2 linked regions of the Saccharomyces cerevisiae S288C genome follow. The protein of the gene in region 1 interacts with the protein of each later gene in a pairwise test. Each region holds a gene or a part of one and is shown in the gene's direction. Other genes may lie near its edges.

Region 1 (7,721 bases):
TTTAAAAAAGTCTCTTTTGAAAAATGCTAATTTAATCCAGTCGAAAAAGACCTTTAATCTCGATCTTGCAGATAGAATCATGGACAAGTACAAAATTCTCCATAAGTAGAAGGTCATTAAGCCACCACCGGTGTAAAATGTTCTCTTACCGGAACGTATGGTTGCAATGGCCCTTTCGGATCCCAGGTATGCTAAGGCACCTAAATCGTTGTATTTGAAAGGTTTAAAGTTGTTCTCCTCGAACAAGAGATCAATTTTATCCTTTCTTGAAGATAGATTCTTTTGGAAATTTGGTATTTGAGCCATTTTATCAAAATTCTTGGCCAAATATTCGGCCTCTTGGTGCGCTACTTGGGCGGTTGGTGGCAACCCAGCAAATGCATTGTCACCAATGGCGAAAATGTTGTTGCTGCCTTTCACCTGCAAAAAGTCATTCACTGCCAATCCTCTCTTGGACGAGTTTTGCTCAGGAATTTTCTTGAAAAGGTCAGTGATTACCGGTCTTGCCTTGTTACCCGTGGCCCAAATCAAAGTACCGTATGGAATAGTTTCTTCGGTTATTTTACCGTCTTCGTGTTTGGTCTTTGCCAACAATTGCTTTTCTTCAACTTTGGCGACAGCCGTTCTCAGATGTACTTTGATCGAAGTGTTTTCTAAATGTGATTGCGCGTATGATGAAAGCTTTTTCTCAAACATATTCAAAACGATGGGCAGAGCTTCGACCAAGTGAATTTGGACTTCTTCGGCCAATGCAGGGAGAAACTTTCTCAGGTCCTGGTGAACATAATCCTGTAGTTCACCAGCGGCCTCTACACCAGTAGGCCCACCACCAACCACGACAATGGACAGTAGTCTTCTTCTTTCGGGATCACCCTTTGGCAATAAGTTAGCCTTCTCTAGATTGGCGGCAAAAGTTCTTCTTATTTCCAAAGAGTTGGGAATTTCCTTCAGGAAATGACCGTAATCAGTGACCCCAGGAATACCAAATGTGTTAGGTTCCGCACCTACAGCACTGATTAAATAATCGTACTTAATTTCAGCAGGTTCTGCTTGATGCAGCCCTAGATGGTTTTCAGGTTGGTATAGCTGGCTAACGGCAGATAATGATTTTATGGTAACGGTATTCCTGTCGGGATTGATAGAGGTGGCTTCTGCCTCATAGTAGGTAACGTTCCCCTTTTTCTTGAGAGCAAAATTAACGATGGGCTCAATAATTGACTTTTCGTCTACTGTCCCAACTGGTGCAGAAGGTAACAAAGGCGTAAATAAGAAATAGCTTCTAGGAGAGATGATGGAAACGTTGTACTTCTTGGTGTCAATGTGCTTTAAAAACGAAATAGCTCCCCACCCCGAACCCAGTATCAGCACGTTTGGTTTGTCGCTGTGCTGAGGGTCAATGACTTTCATGGTCTTAAAAGATGTAGGACCTGCTCCGGAGTTTTCCACCCCTGTGGATCTGGTGGAAGCGAATCTGACTAGCGTATTCGTCGAGGTGAGCAACCTCTTGTTACTATACAAATTCTTCGATAGCATAGTGGTTTTTAGTTTCTTCTCTTGGGTAAACGTGTAATTCGATGATGTGATGAAACTGACACCCTACCTGAAACTCCTCAATTGGTAGTTAAAACTCCTTCCCCACTATGCCCTATACATCTTATATATACCCTGTCGACGTTGCAAATACCGGCAATAACCAAGAGCGCTAAGGGGGAGCACTCTTATTGTGGTTACCCGGACGTTCAATGCCTTCATATGATTGGTCCGAATGAATAGGTCATGAGAAAATGCATATTTTTGAGGCATTTCAGCAATGATCGGCAATCTGCACATATTCGTATTGTTTCCCTGAGTAAGTTATTTGCGGAAAGAGACATTCTATTGCTTTGGAGTATTTTGTGGTCTTCGACAATAAAGCGAAGGAATAATAGGTTCGTTGCTAGCGACAAGCAACACATAGTTGTAGTGATGCTATAGCAAAGAAAGGTCACAGATTCATTATTGACCTTTTAAATGGTGCCCAGTGGCAATTGCCGTTTTAGCATTCTTTAAATGCGTAGTATATGAGTTTTAAAGTGCTTTGTTGTTCACGTGCTTTTCACGTGTATGATTACTTAACCGGGTAGCGCCGGTCTTTAATATGCTTTCCAGATTAGGAAAGAACATAAATAAAAACACAAAATAAGAAAGTGTCAATCATCCGCATTGAAAGAAAGAAAAGATTTTTTTATCCCTCAATTGTACATGAAAACAGAGACCTTTCAAAACGTATTTTAACATTCTTTTACTCTTTTCTTGCACCTGCAGCCTTAGGTCAGTAAGAAAAAAAGTAGGTAGCAATGAGCCCAAGTCCATCAGTGTCGCCAAGAAGGACGCTCAATAACAAATCATCTTACATCAATAACAGCGGTGGGCTGGTCCTGCCTCCTACGCAGTTTAATTTGAATCAGCAGCCAGTCCTGAGCTTCCAACAAAAAGCGACTTTCGATTCCAACCAGCAGTTTTTCTATTATCCAGAGTCACCCACAAAAAACCTGAGACCAAGGTTTAACAGTATTTCGCAGGTTAATAAAGGAGTTAATGAAGACCATTATACCGGGGGCGGTAGCAGTAATAATAACAGGCCATCTAGATATACAAATACCATGGGCGCTGCAAACACCAATGTAAATTCCCATCCGCATCATCAGTCGGTGTCGCATTTAAATTCTAAATCTCTTAAATTCAATCAAACGAAGGAAGTGAGCAGCATAAATGAAATTATTTTTCCTTCCAGAACGTGTACAAAGAAACGGTATTTTACCAAGCCAATTGATTTGTATGGTACAAGAAGTAGCACTAGTGTGGCACCTAAGTTGACGAATTCTCCCACGAAATCAAAAACAAATTTCAACATCAAGAAGTGCATCTTACCTAGGTCCGTCGTTACCACATATAAATTACCATCTCCAGTGCACGAAACGATAGACGATATATCCAAAAAAATCATAATCCTGCTAATTTCGTTGAAGTTTGAGAAAAACTATCACTTCTTGCAACCTATTCAATTGTCCACAAATAGTAAGACACGGATCTCAAAATCACTAGACGAATTATGCGGAGTGCAGCTGACATCAACGTTACGGCAACAAAAGCAGCTGCAAGGTAACAGCAAGCCCGTAAAGAATCTCCCTAATTCCAATGCGAAGCAGAGAGCCGGGGCCAGTGTTTCCACAAATGCCAACGAAAGCTTTGAATTGAGTTTTGATGGAAAGGCAATGGATAGATCTGATATATTTCGAATGGTAGATTCTTTTAGCATCGCCATTTCAGATGAAGATGAGGAAGATGAGGAGGAGGATAGCTTTCAGCAGAGAAGTGCGAACAACAGAATCCTCCCTGCGGAGATACTAAGTAATGAACCTTTGAAATGATACGGATTCTCTGTATTCTGTCTATAGTATTTATATACCAATACATTTTTCCGCACTTTGAAGTTTTGCATTTTACTTAATGTAGTTTATTATTAGTTGCCAAAACGAAACATTTAACATGTGAATTAAAAATACAAAAAAAAGCCTATTAACGATCTAAATTTATGACAAAAGACATATAATTATTTTAATGATGCCTTTGTCACAACCGAACACAATATCTTTGAAAAGTGATCCAGCAATCGAATTCAGAATTCGTTGTGCCATTTTTGCCTTACGTTTGCGCCATTGTAATTTCTCTGTGCCGTCTTCTCTTCACTTTATTTCAATATTATCATGCAGTAAACAAGTTGCAGAATAATAAATAATATACGTACCAAATATGTGAACAACTCAGATACTATTCATTTGATATGTTAAAAGTCCTGCATTCCTCTCCCGACATTATATATAAAATGCTCAGCCACCCCTTCGTTGCACAGAAAAAAAGGATGACCTATAATACCAATATTCAATCACAATAGTTATACCAAACTAACACATGGTTGAAGCAGACTACTTACTATCGTGGAGTTAGCTCACTGAAAATTTAATATTTACAGCATTAAACAGTTTTTTCTTTTGTTTTGTCTCCTACATTAATTTCAATATGGATAGCCAAGTAGAAGGCAAAATATCCCCCTCACAGAAGGAGTCCTCCTCCACCTCAGGCCTCGTTTCACCTAGTGAAGATGGCCCAGCACATCAAAAAATACACAGAGACCAATTAAGTGTGGATCAAATCAAGAAAATCAGAGAAGAACGTGCTCAGAAGAGACAGGTACGTAGGAACTCTCTAATATCCCAAGGGAAGGACCCTGACTTCCCAACGCCTGACTTACAATTCATTGAAAGACCATTCCTCCCTATCAACCATGATAATTCGAAAGGTCTTACGCCAGCGACCATACAAGTCACCCAAGATTCATTGGACGTTAAAATAATGACCTATAATACTCTAGCACAAACCTTGATTAGGAGAGATTTTTTCCCAGAAAGTGGACCAGCGTTAAAGTGGCATAAGAGATCAAAAGTTTTGGTCCACGAATTGAAAAAGTACAGGCCTGATGTAGTATCGTTGCAGGAGGTCGATTACAATGAACTCAACTTCTGGCAGGAGAATTTCCATAAGTTAGGGTTTGATGTGATTTTCAAAAGGCATGAAGGGAAAACTCATGGACTACTAGTTGCATGGAACAATAAAAAATTCCAGTTAGATAATGATTGGATGCTGGACTACGATAATATATTGGCGGGAAATGTCATTTCAGCAAGAACAAGAACTAAAAATATTGCCCTTATTATATCGCTATATTTCAAGGGTATAACAGATTCATCATCAAGAGGAATTATCGTCGCAAATACACACCTATTTTGGCATCCCTTTGGGGTATTTGAAAGATTAAGGCAATCTTACTTGGTTTTACAAAAGATCCAGGAAATTAAAGCATGTTCCAAATATAATGGCTGGCATAGCCTACTGATGGGTGATTTCAATACCGAACCTGAAGAGCCACCGTACTTGGCCATAACGAAAAGACCACTGATATTAAAAGGCCCAATAAGAGCTATGGTGGAATGCTCACTAGCGTATCGGTATTCAAAAAAAAGGAATGGAGAAGAAAGTGACCAGGATGATGAAGAGTGTGATGAAAAGTCTAGGGGCGAAGGCCATTCAGATCAACCACAAAACCCAAAACCAGAGAGCTTTACAGCCACAAAGGAAGAAAAGGCTCTGGTAAATCAATTAGTTGCGTTGCATAATTCACTACATGTGAAAGGCGTATCTTTGTATGGGATTGGCTACGGTAAAGTGCATCCTGAAAATGCTAACGGAAGCCACGGCGAACCGGGACTCTCAAACTGGGCCAATACATGGTGTGGATTATTAGACTACATATTTTATATCGAGGGTGATCATAATCAGGACACGCGTCAGAAAGAGCCTCTGAATGCTTTTGAAGGAAATAACAACGTAAAAATAATCGGATATCTGAGGATGCCGTGCGCACAAGAAATGCCCAAACACTCCCAACCTTTCGAGGGAGAATATGCTAGTGATCACATTTCCCTAATGTGCCAAATACGCTTGTTTTTTGGGGGGGAGAAAGTGCATAGCTTAAAATAAAGAAACAATATATATAAACAACCTACATTTGTGTTTGAAAGACAGTAATCAACGCTTCGATGGTCACTGGGATTTTTCTTTCAATTTAGCGTCACTTTCACCTTATTCACAGCTTTTACGTGCTATTTTTGGTCACCCTTCCCCTTTCGTTGCGCCTCAACGGGCTAAAAAAAAAAAAATAAAATCAAGCATAGAAACACCACAACAAACCTGCCCTTTTTCCTTGTTTCAGGTTACGTGAAAAGCATCCAGAGAAGATATCCCAAAGACTGAAGAGGTGTAGTTGGCTCATTCACGTCGTTCGTTTATATTATCAAGGAAGGGGTTTTTGATCGGCTCGAACAAGACTCGCAAGAATCCGTTTTCTATTGTTTTTTTTGAGGATTCCAATATGTCAAATTCCAATTCAAAAAAACCTGTTGCGAATTACGCATACCGTCAACAGCAAGATTATAATGGGATGAACGCCATGGTGGGAAATCCAATGATGTATCATCCTGTTGATTTCGTAAACGGTGCCGGCCAATATGGTCCTTCTCAACACCCAGCATATTACACCAACTCACCATTACCTAATATTCCACCAACACCTTTTGATACTGCATACGGTGCCAGTCTTTTTCCATCTCACCTATTGATGGGATCTCCATTTGTTTCCTCGCCTAACATGCAAAGTGGCTATAATTCTGCAAGATCATCTAATCTCAAAAGAAAGGCTTATTCGAGGCCCGTTTCTAATCATAACGGTTACAACGGAAACAGTAACAGTAACCAAAACAATACTAATAACGGAATGGTAACACCCTCGAACTATTATAGAATGGGGAGAAATTCTTTCTCGAGGAACAACAACAGTACGAGGAATGTTACTCACAACAACAATAAGGGGTGCGACACCCGGAACAACAGTGGAAGAAGAACATTCGCAAGGAATAACATTTTCGACGACATACTTCCAGAAATGCTTTTACAAAGACCCTTTTGTATTAATTACAAGGTTCTACCGACTGGTGATGATGCTTATAGAACTAGGTCGCTGCTTATTGAAAATGTGGATCATTCTATTGATTTACACTCTATAGTCAAAAATTTTGTCAAATCCAATACTCTGGAAAGTGCCTACTTAATTGAAGGAGGGAAGAGCGATGATTCAAAAGATGTAGAGACTAAAAATCTATCCATTCTAATAAGCTTTCTAACCAAAGGCGACTGTTTGAACTTTTACAATAACATTTTACAAAGGTTATCTGAATTCAAAACATTTTTGAAATCTGAAGCACTAAATCTGAAATTTGTTTGTCTAAACTATGATCCCAAATGCCTCCCTACCTTTATTGAGAGTGAAGCGTTAACAGAAAACGCTGAAGAAGCCGACATTACCAATGGTTCAACAATGATCAGTGCTTCGCTGCATCATAATATAGCGAACAAAGATGCTACAAGGTCGATTATAATTGAATTCAAAAGCCCCGTGGAGAAAAGCGATTTATTCAAAAAGAAATTACAATTTTTGGACAGGTCAAAAAACAAAAGATACATTTTGGAATCTATCGATTTAGTGAACACAGATGTACCTTCCAATCAATTTCCTGAAAATTACGCCGTTTTAACCTTTTTGAATATCTCTATGGCTATTGAAGTTCTCGATTATTTGAAAAAATACTCCAAAAACTTAGGCATTTCTAAATGTTTTTACGTATCCCTAGCCCCGTTGGTAGTTAGCTCAGCCAGATCTTCGGTTGCTAATATTTACGAGGGTAAAACGAGCACACATCGTTTATCGGTGCCTTCTGTTACTGCTGGGAACAATAACGATAGCAACAACAACGGAAACAATAATAAAAGTAATATGAGTGGTATCACCACACTCAATAATAATAGTAGTATTGGTGTTTCCGTATACGGTCACTCTAATATGAGTTTAACCAGTCTGTCATCATCTGTATCTTTAAATGAAGAGATTGATATGCTTGCGACGAAACTTCAAGGGGTAGAACTTGATGGGACTTATTTAGAAATCAACTATCGCGACTATCAAACACCAACTATTGAAGAACACTCTACTCACTTGAGCAATGTCAAAATTTCAAAGACAACAGAAAACTCTAGGCAATTTTCTCAAGATATCCCATCACCTTTGCCAT
Region 2 (9,155 bases), on another chromosome or scaffold:
TATTGAATAGAATATTATTCCAATACTGGCTTTTTTACAATTCATTAAAAGAGGAAAAGACATTTCAGAAAATTTTCTTCTCTATGAACCTTAAATGTAGGAAAAAAAAGGAACCAAACCACATCATTTACTCTCAACCGCCTTTCTTGTTGGGGTTCATGGTACAATTGCAAAGTTGTGTCAAGTTGTTGCCACTCTATCTTTTGTTTTTGTTACAGGGTAATGGCGCACATTATGCAAGCGCGATGACGAGCAAGGTACTTTCTTTTTTCCTTTAACATTTTGTTGTCCACCGGAAAATAAAAAAAAACAAATAAATGGGTAAGATCAAAAAAGGAATAGAAGCATATGTTTTAAGGGCAACGCCGAATCGTCAAAGAACGGGAGGAAGATCAATACATTAAGTGGAAAAAAAAAGCTCCCGTAATATGGATGAAAAGACAATTAAAAAGTCGATTCTTTCATCTTCCAATGATGAAAAAATAATATACAAATCGCGAATAAAGAAATTTCAAAAGAATCATAAATTTTATATTATTCTATTGGTTTTCATCGCCATTTTACAATTCATATCAATAGCTTTTTTCACTCGGGGATTCTTACTGTCAAGACACGTTCTTGATAATATTTCCTCACAAAACGAAACGAGTAAGTTACCTCCTAGGTTCAACAAGGCGGTGATTTTGGTTATTGACGCTTTGAGATTTGATTTCGCTATTCCTGTAAACGAATCCCACTCTAATTACAACTTGAACTATCATAATAATATATTATCATTGTATGATTCTTTTGCAAGCGATAAGGATGCATCTTCCCTATTGTTGAAGTTCATTGCCGACCCACCAACCACTACTTTACAAAGACTCAAGGGTCTCACAACAGGGTCCTTACCGACTTTCATTGATGCCGGGTCTAACTTCGATGGAACAGTAATCGAAGAGGATAACTTTCTTAAACAGCTCCATTTGGCAAATAAGACTGTCAAATTTGCCGGAGATGATACATGGATGGCTCTGTTCCATCCGTTCCTTTCCAACGATAGTTTCCCACTAGAATCACTCAATGTGTGGGACTTAGATACTGTCGATAACGGTGTTATGGATTACTTCCATGATCATTTACAGCAGGACAAGGAATGGGACGTCATGATTGGACACATGCTAGGTATTGACCATGTGGGCCACAAATATGGCCCCGACCATTTTACTATGAGGGAAAAACAAATTCAAGTAGATCAATTTATCGATTGGATACTAAAATCGATCGATGATGATACCTTATTGGTTATTTTGGGTGACCATGGAATGGACCATACGGGCAATCACGGTGGCGACTCCATCGACGAGCTCGAAAGCACTTTATTTCTTTATTCTAAGAAGCCGGACATGTGGAGACTTAAAGAAACTTCGAATTACAACATTGATAATTTGGGACACGATTACCGTTCAGTGAGACAAATTGATTTGGTGTCTAGTTTGGCGTTATTGATGGGCCAACCGATACCATTTAACAATCTTGGATGGCCTATTGACGAAATAGCAAGAAACGATAGAGAATGGTCTCAATTTGTCAACTCAGCGATAAGCCAATTACAATTATATAAGGACACGATGCAGATCCACCATGGCAATGACGAAATATTGGAACCGTTAGCGAAAAATATATCTAACACCCCCCCAACAAGCGATCCAGAAAAATTTGTTAAGCTGGGTCATAAATACCAAAAGGTCTTCTTGCAGACCTGCGAAGAACTATGGGCCAAATTCGATTATTATTCCATTGCCACCGGTATAACGCTACTGGCCACTTCACTGGTCCTGTTGATATCCATTACAAAATTAATTCCTTCTATTGTTGTGAATCAAATGGTTCCAGAATTCGTTCCGGGAATTATCATAATGGTCTTAGTTACAAACCTATGTTTCCATGGAATTTTTTACGTTTATCAACAACCAAGTTTTGTAGACCAATTCTGGGGTACCCTGTTAGCGACTGCAATTGGTATCATTATTGGTTGTTATATCACAATATTTGATAGGTACAACTTTATTTGGATTGCTATGAGACTGGGTGAAACATTAGCTGATTATTGGTCAAGAATTGCTGTCATGTTTATGATTATTCATGCTTTGCTTTTCACTTCCAATTCATTTACTATTTGGGAGGATAGAATTGTAGCATTCCTTTTATCTACTTTCGGCATGTTGACGTTGTATGAATTTGTCTTCTTACCAAAAAGGCAATCCACCACTGCATTATTAACTGCAACAATCAGTGAAAAGGAAGGAACCACTTCAGGGGTCAATCCTTCGACAGCAAATTCAAATTACTTACCATTAACAAGATTTGCAAGATTACTAGGAGGTTACCATTCTGCAGTTTTAATCATTTTTACCCGGTTAGCTTCTATGATTACCATTTGTAGAGAGGAACAAGGCGAATATTGTATTCCAACATTTAATAATCAAAACAATTCCTCGTGGTGGGTTTTGGGTCTCTGTTTCCTAATGATATTCATATTACCTGCATGCATCACCGGTTATTATAATCTAACATCGTCTTATCAAGCTGCAGCTCCAATTTGGATAAACGTTTTCCTAAAGGGTATCCTTGGTTTGAACTTTGTTTATTGGTCATTGACTTCATTAGAAAATAACAGTGCGGTAATAGCAATACCGTTCTTACGGGACGTCACTATTTTTAAATTTACGTTGGCTAGAATTATTGCCGGTTTTTCATTGATTGCTTCTAATGTCGGCTGGCTAATGGGACCACTTTGTATTAAATTAAACATTCATAATACTGATGTTAAGTCTCACGAAGCAACAATTTTAGGTTATACTAATATTTACGGCTCAGAGTTTTTTCTTTTGGTCATAAACGTTCTCATTAGTATCCTACTATTCAACAAACCCCTGGCCCAGTTGTCATACTTCCTCATGTGCAACCAACTACTATCAATTTTAGAAATTATCGATCTTTTAAAATTAAAGGAAAACATAATTGGTCCAATTGCGTTGGGACTCTTATCTTACCAACATTTTTTCACCACCGGTCATCAAGCCACAATTCCATCAGTGCAATGGGATATCGGATTTATGCTGTCTGAAAAGGTAACGTTCCCCTTCACTCAGATAGCCATCATCCTAAATACATTTGGGCCTCATATTCTCGTCTCCTTATCTGTAGCGTTACTGACACTGTGGTCACAGCCTCCTGATGTGTTGAAGCCACAAACACTTTTAGGAAGAATTGTGTCAAACTGCGGTATATTACTCACTTACAATACTATTTTATGTCTAAGCTCCTTTATTTGGGTTACTCACTTCCGTAGACACTTGATGGTTTGGAAAATCTTCTGCCCAAGGTTTATCTTTGCTTCTTTAAGTTTAATAGTCACTCAACTGGTCGTTACTTTTGGTACAATTGCATTTGCTAGTGGGAGATTGATTAAGCACATAAATGACATTTTTTGGAAATGACGAACTTCATTTCCACTCTTTACTTACAAATATACTATATATATATATCTACATGTAATTTAGATACAAGTAAATCATATCTCTTGATATTGCAAAAATTTGAAAGCAAAAGCATCTCTTTTCTGCAGCTTTATTCTTTTAAGATTGTACATTTTTCTATCACTTTCTTGTAATCCTAAATTATATTTTTCTCCAAAATTTTTCTTTTCGCTTGTAGATTGTTTTTTTTCCACAAAGGCAAAAAACAAAAACAAAATAAAAGAAATAAAGGATGAAAAGTCATCTTTGTTTATATAGCTAACCTCTTGACTACCTGAACCTTTTGAAGCACTATTCAAGCCCGCAGAGGTTAAGTCTACACAATTGTTTAAAAAGAAAAACAGCAGTAAACACACGGTTGAGGCATGGATAACTTCAAAATTTACAGTACAGTTATCACAACTGCTTTTTTACAAGTTCCACACTTATACACGACAAATAGATTATGGAAGCCCATAGAAGCACCTTTTTTAGTTGAATTTCTTCAAAAAAGAATAAGCTCCAAAGAACTTAAAAACACAAAAGCAATCTGTCATATAGATCCCTCATGGGTCAATCTAAATGCTTCTTTCATTAGAGATGACATGATCTCAATAAAAGCTACCACAGATGATATGGACCTCGATGCTATTTGCAGGATTTCTTTGCCCTTACCTATGAACACAAATGATCTAACAGCAGAATTGGAAAAAATGAAACGTATACTATTGGACTTGAGTGAAAAATTCAATTTAGAACTAATCATCACCAAAGAACCAGCTTACTTCACACCAGAACAGACAGGCGAGAGCAAGGAATTATGTATTTACGTGCATGCATTAGGATTCCGATCTAATTTAATGGAATGCGAACCCCAGTTATTGGCATTTGTCGATTTAATAAAGAAGAATGGTATGACTTTGCCTCCACAACACTACATTATCGAACCTATGGAACTGAACTCATACTCTGTGCTTCCCTTATATATGGGTGTAGATATGGAAAACTTCAAACATATATCCAGAGCTTTTAAAACCAGCATTTACGCACCTTCCCTCATTACGCTGTCTAGGGATCTTAAGGCAAATCCACAAATCTTCTTCTCAGGCGCTGTCCATTCACTAAGTTTACTGGCTAGGAAAACTCTACGTGAGTCCATAAGCGTGAATTCAAAGAGTTTTTTTTATCGTCGATTGACTAATATTACCCCAGGAAAACTACTGTTTATCCGAAAATACTACCAACAAAAGGTAAACCAGTTAATTTTGAAATACCAATCGCTTATTAGAGTTACTAACGAATACATTGAATTTCAATCGATTTCCACGAACTTATTAGAAATGGTTATTAAGAACTTCACTATTCAAGTATTACATGAAATTGTAGAAGTACAGATTTCACTCAATGAAAACTGCGCAATGTCCCCGGAATTAATAATCGACAGCTTTTTCGGACACACTGGAAACCAAATTGTAGTAATAACTCCCAAAGAGGATTCCTTCAACCAATTAATAGTAGTTGGTAACCAATCTTCCACAGATGAGGCGTCCGATACTTCCATATTGCATTACTTATCTGATTTTATTATGGGCTCAAATCAAGTGATTAATCCAAACTTAAGACAGATAAAAGCCATTTTCGAGATACATCCTGATTTTGAAGACTTCATATCAGGCAAGAAAAATGGTAAATTAACACGTATAATGGAACTATCTGCTTGCTTAATTCAACTGGAAATGGAAGAGGAAGATGATAACCTTTATTTAAATTTGGTTAGTGACTCTTTCCCTGATTTCAAGGAATCATTTAAGAATGTTATAAATGAATTTCCTGCCGAAGAATCTTTCTTCATTCCTGAAGTTTGTCACAGACCGATTATAGGTACAGGTGGTTCCTTAATTCAAGCCACAATGAGAAAGCATAACGTCTTCATTCAGTTTTCCAATAGTTTCAATCTTCCACAAAATAAAATTTCTATGATCAGGTATGATAATGTGATAATTAGGTGCCCCAGGAAAAACAAAGCTAATATATGCCTAGCCAAGAATGATTTAAAACAAATTGTTCAAGAATATGATAGTTTACAATCGAAGACGCTCATTAGATTTTCTAGTGGGCAATATAGACATATTTTGCATGTTAACGGCCAAAAGAATATTATAGGACAAATCGAAAAGAACGAAAATGTTTACATAATGATACCGTTAAAAGAGCCCTTGGATGGAACATCTCAATTGAGTATACAAGGAAATGATGAGAATGCATCAAGAGCCGCTAACGAATTGGTTAATAGTGCGTTTGGTTATGAATACGAGTTCAAAATAGATCAAGAGATAGATCCCAATAAAGAATACGAATTTTATAACCTAATTGTTGTTCCATTTTTGCAAATTATGAACATAATTGTAACTTTTGAGAAGGACCTTATCACTTTTACTTTTGAAAAGGATACTAATGAGAATACTCTAACAAAAGCAATCGAATTACTATCCAATTATTTGGAAACACAAAAGACGAAAATAATATTTAAAAAAATAATTAAAAAATTTGTTCTAGGGTCTGCCTCCAGCAAGAGTAACACCAGTAATAGCAATACCAATGGCAATTTCAGATCAATGAATAATGCCAAAAGTCGTACGACCATCGATAATACCAGCCAATCAGGAGCCTCACCACAACGCCACAAAATGCCTGTTATAACGACGGTAGGAGGAGCCCAAGCCATCAAAGGATATATACCAAACACTTATTACAACGGATATGGGTATGGATACGGATATACATACGAGTACGATTATAATTATGCCAACTCTAATAAAGCTCAAACCAATAATAGGCATAAATATCAAAATGGCAGAAAATGAGAAGGAAAAAAGTTCAGTAGTATTGTAACGTTCTACGCACCTTTTCAATGGATATGCACACCACAAAATATGTCATTGCGCATATCCGCATCTATTACAGTATTTGATTGATATTTTACCATACATACTAAAAAGCTCCGCTCCGCTCCTCTTTTACGATAATGATCTTTATAACCTTGTACCTAATGTCTCATTGAGATATATCAATGTTGTATCGAAATCACTAAATACTTTGAAAAGCGGAATCTTTTTCTTTTCGGTTTTATTTAGCTTAGTTAGCGGACTAGAAGTAGTTTTCAAATGAGAGAATTTGACGTCAAGCTCATCATGGCCTATTCCTCTATGCAAAATCGATCTGTACTTTTCATATTGCATTGTTAAAAGGTTCTTTAAAATTTGCCTGCAATATGTGTTGTCCCTTGCAATATCCCACTTTTGAACTTTTGTTTCGGGCAAGTATGAACAGCTCTTCAGAACAAATTCCAAGGTTCTTTGCATCTCAGTCACGGGGAGTATCCTTTCACAACATTTCGTGTTGCTGAGAAGCTCAAGATTGATTTTCGACCTCAAGCCATCAGGATTGAATACCAAGTATCGTTTGAGTTCGTAGTTTTCTTTCATAAACTTATATCGAACATAATCCCTGTAAGTATCTTTAACCATTTTCACATTCGATATGAAAGGCTTAAGCCTCATAAATCGGCGGTAAAATAGCTTAACAACTGTACTTCTCTCAGGTGAGTCTGCATCTAGCTTTTGAAAACGTGAAGGAAGTTGGTATTTAGAATGCGATTTAATAAGAGTATAGTCTGGAGTTATAATAGCTTTTGCTGTTGTTATCGTAATAGAAGGCTTACGCATTGTGTTATCCGCTTAACTGCGATTAACATGCATACGTATGATATACTCGAGCTAGTCTCATAAGCTTTCTTCATATATGGTTGTCATGGCAAACTTCGATGTTCGTCGATAGTGACAGGTTCCAAAATTTTTCATTCAGCTCATCGCATATTTTGGAAATTCAAACAATGATTAACAACCGATGTGTGAATTAATCTGCGAGTCAGTTAGAATAAAAGATCATTAGGGCCGATAATAGCTACGTGGTGGGAAGGCTGGAATAATGGTTAAAGTAAAGTCGAAAAAGAACTCATTAACAAGTTCTCTAGATAACAAGATCGTCGATCTTATCTATCGTCTCTTGGAAGAAAAAACTTTGGACAGAAAAAGGTCTCTGAGACAAGAATCCCAAGGAGAAGAGGGCGAGAACAACGAGGGTGAAGAAGATGAGGATATATTTGAATCCATGTTTTTCGCTAAAGATTTAACAGCAGGTGAGATTTTTACCTTTTGTTTGACTAAAGATTTATCACTTCAAAGAGTTAAGAAAGTTGTCTTACAAAAGACAATTGACCGCATGCTAAAAGACGTGATTGAATCAGAATTGGAAGAATTTGGTTCTTACCCAGGTTACAACAACGAAGAGGAAGAGAAACCAAGCTTGGAAGAAGAACTAGCTAAGAAAAATATGATGATTGAGCGAGACACAAATGAGATGAACAAACGCATAACTAGCACGTGGTCCAAATCTGGATCTGTTTCCGAGTCTATAACAGAAACTGATGATCCTAAGACAGAAGAGGTTAAAAAATCTAAAAAAAGATCCAAAGAAGGTACATGTAAGGTAAAACGTCAAAAAATCAAGGAAGATAGATCTCCACCTAATTCGTCTCTGAAATCCTTAGGTGGTATGGATGATGTCGTTGCACAACTTATGGAACTAATAGGTCTACCCATTCTTCATCCAGAGATATTTTTATCCACGGGTGTCGAACCACCTAGAGGTGTTCTGTTGCATGGCCCACCGGGTTGCGGTAAGACGTCGATTGCTAATGCGTTAGCTGGAGAATTACAAGTCCCATTTATATCTATTTCTGCACCTTCAGTCGTAAGTGGTATGTCTGGGGAAAGCGAGAAAAAGATTAGGGATTTGTTTGATGAAGCGAGAAGCTTGGCACCATGTCTTGTTTTCTTTGATGAAATAGATGCCATTACACCAAAACGTGATGGAGGAGCCCAAAGAGAAATGGAGAGAAGAATAGTTGCCCAATTATTGACCTCAATGGATGAATTAACGATGGAAAAGACAAATGGAAAACCTGTTATTATCATAGGTGCCACGAATAGACCTGACTCTTTGGATGCAGCATTGAGAAGAGCAGGTAGATTCGATAGAGAAATATGCCTGAATGTCCCGAATGAAGTCTCAAGGTTACATATTTTAAAGAAAATGTCTGATAACCTAAAAATTGATGGTGCTATCGATTTTGCCAAATTGGCAAAATTAACCCCAGGCTTTGTTGGCGCTGATTTAAAGGCTTTAGTTACTGCTGCCGGTACATGCGCTATTAAAAGAATTTTCCAAACCTATGCTAATATAAAATCCACACCAACTACGGCAACGGACAGTTCAGAAGATAACATGGAAATTGATGAAACAGCAAACGGAGATGAATCTAGCCTGAAGAACACTGCGAATATGATCGATCCGTTGCCTTTATCCGTAGTCCAACAATTTATTCGTAATTATCCTGAGCCTTTATCAGGAGAGCAGTTATCATTATTATCGATTAAGTACGAAGATTTTTTGAAAGCGTTGCCAACAATTCAACCAACAGCAAAGAGAGAAGGGTTCGCTACGGTACCTGATGTTACTTGGGCTAATGTAGGCGCATTGCAAAGAGTTAGACTTGAATTAAATATGGCTATTGTGCAACCCATCAAGAGACCA

What was found. Proteins that work in one complex are often made in the same cells at the same time.
Region 2: the proteins of YML119W (region 1) and YLL032C interact in binary tests that used the Saccharomyces cerevisiae proteins (3 or more experiments, as listed by UniProt).

The regions. Positions count from the first base shown.
Region 1 is NC_001145.3:28,275-35,995, forward strand, and holds YML119W (uncharacterized protein), read left to right. Parts: upstream 1-2,336; coding exon 2,337-3,410; downstream 3,411-7,721. Other genes in the region: NADH-ubiquinone reductase (H(+)-translocating) NDI1, read right to left, coding at 1-1,533; NGL3 (3'-5' poly(A) RNA exonuclease), read left to right, coding at 4,060-5,577; NAB6 (Nab6p), read left to right, coding at 5,969-7,721.
Region 2 is NC_001144.5:71,479-80,633, reverse strand, and holds YLL032C (uncharacterized protein), read left to right. Parts: upstream 1-3,886; coding exon 3,887-6,364; downstream 6,365-9,155. Other genes in the region: RRT7 (Rrt7p), read left to right, coding at 1-278; mannose-ethanolamine phosphotransferase GPI13, read left to right, coding at 429-3,482; IRC19 (Irc19p), read right to left, coding at 6,533-7,225; putative AAA family ATPase RIX7, read left to right, coding at 7,488-9,155.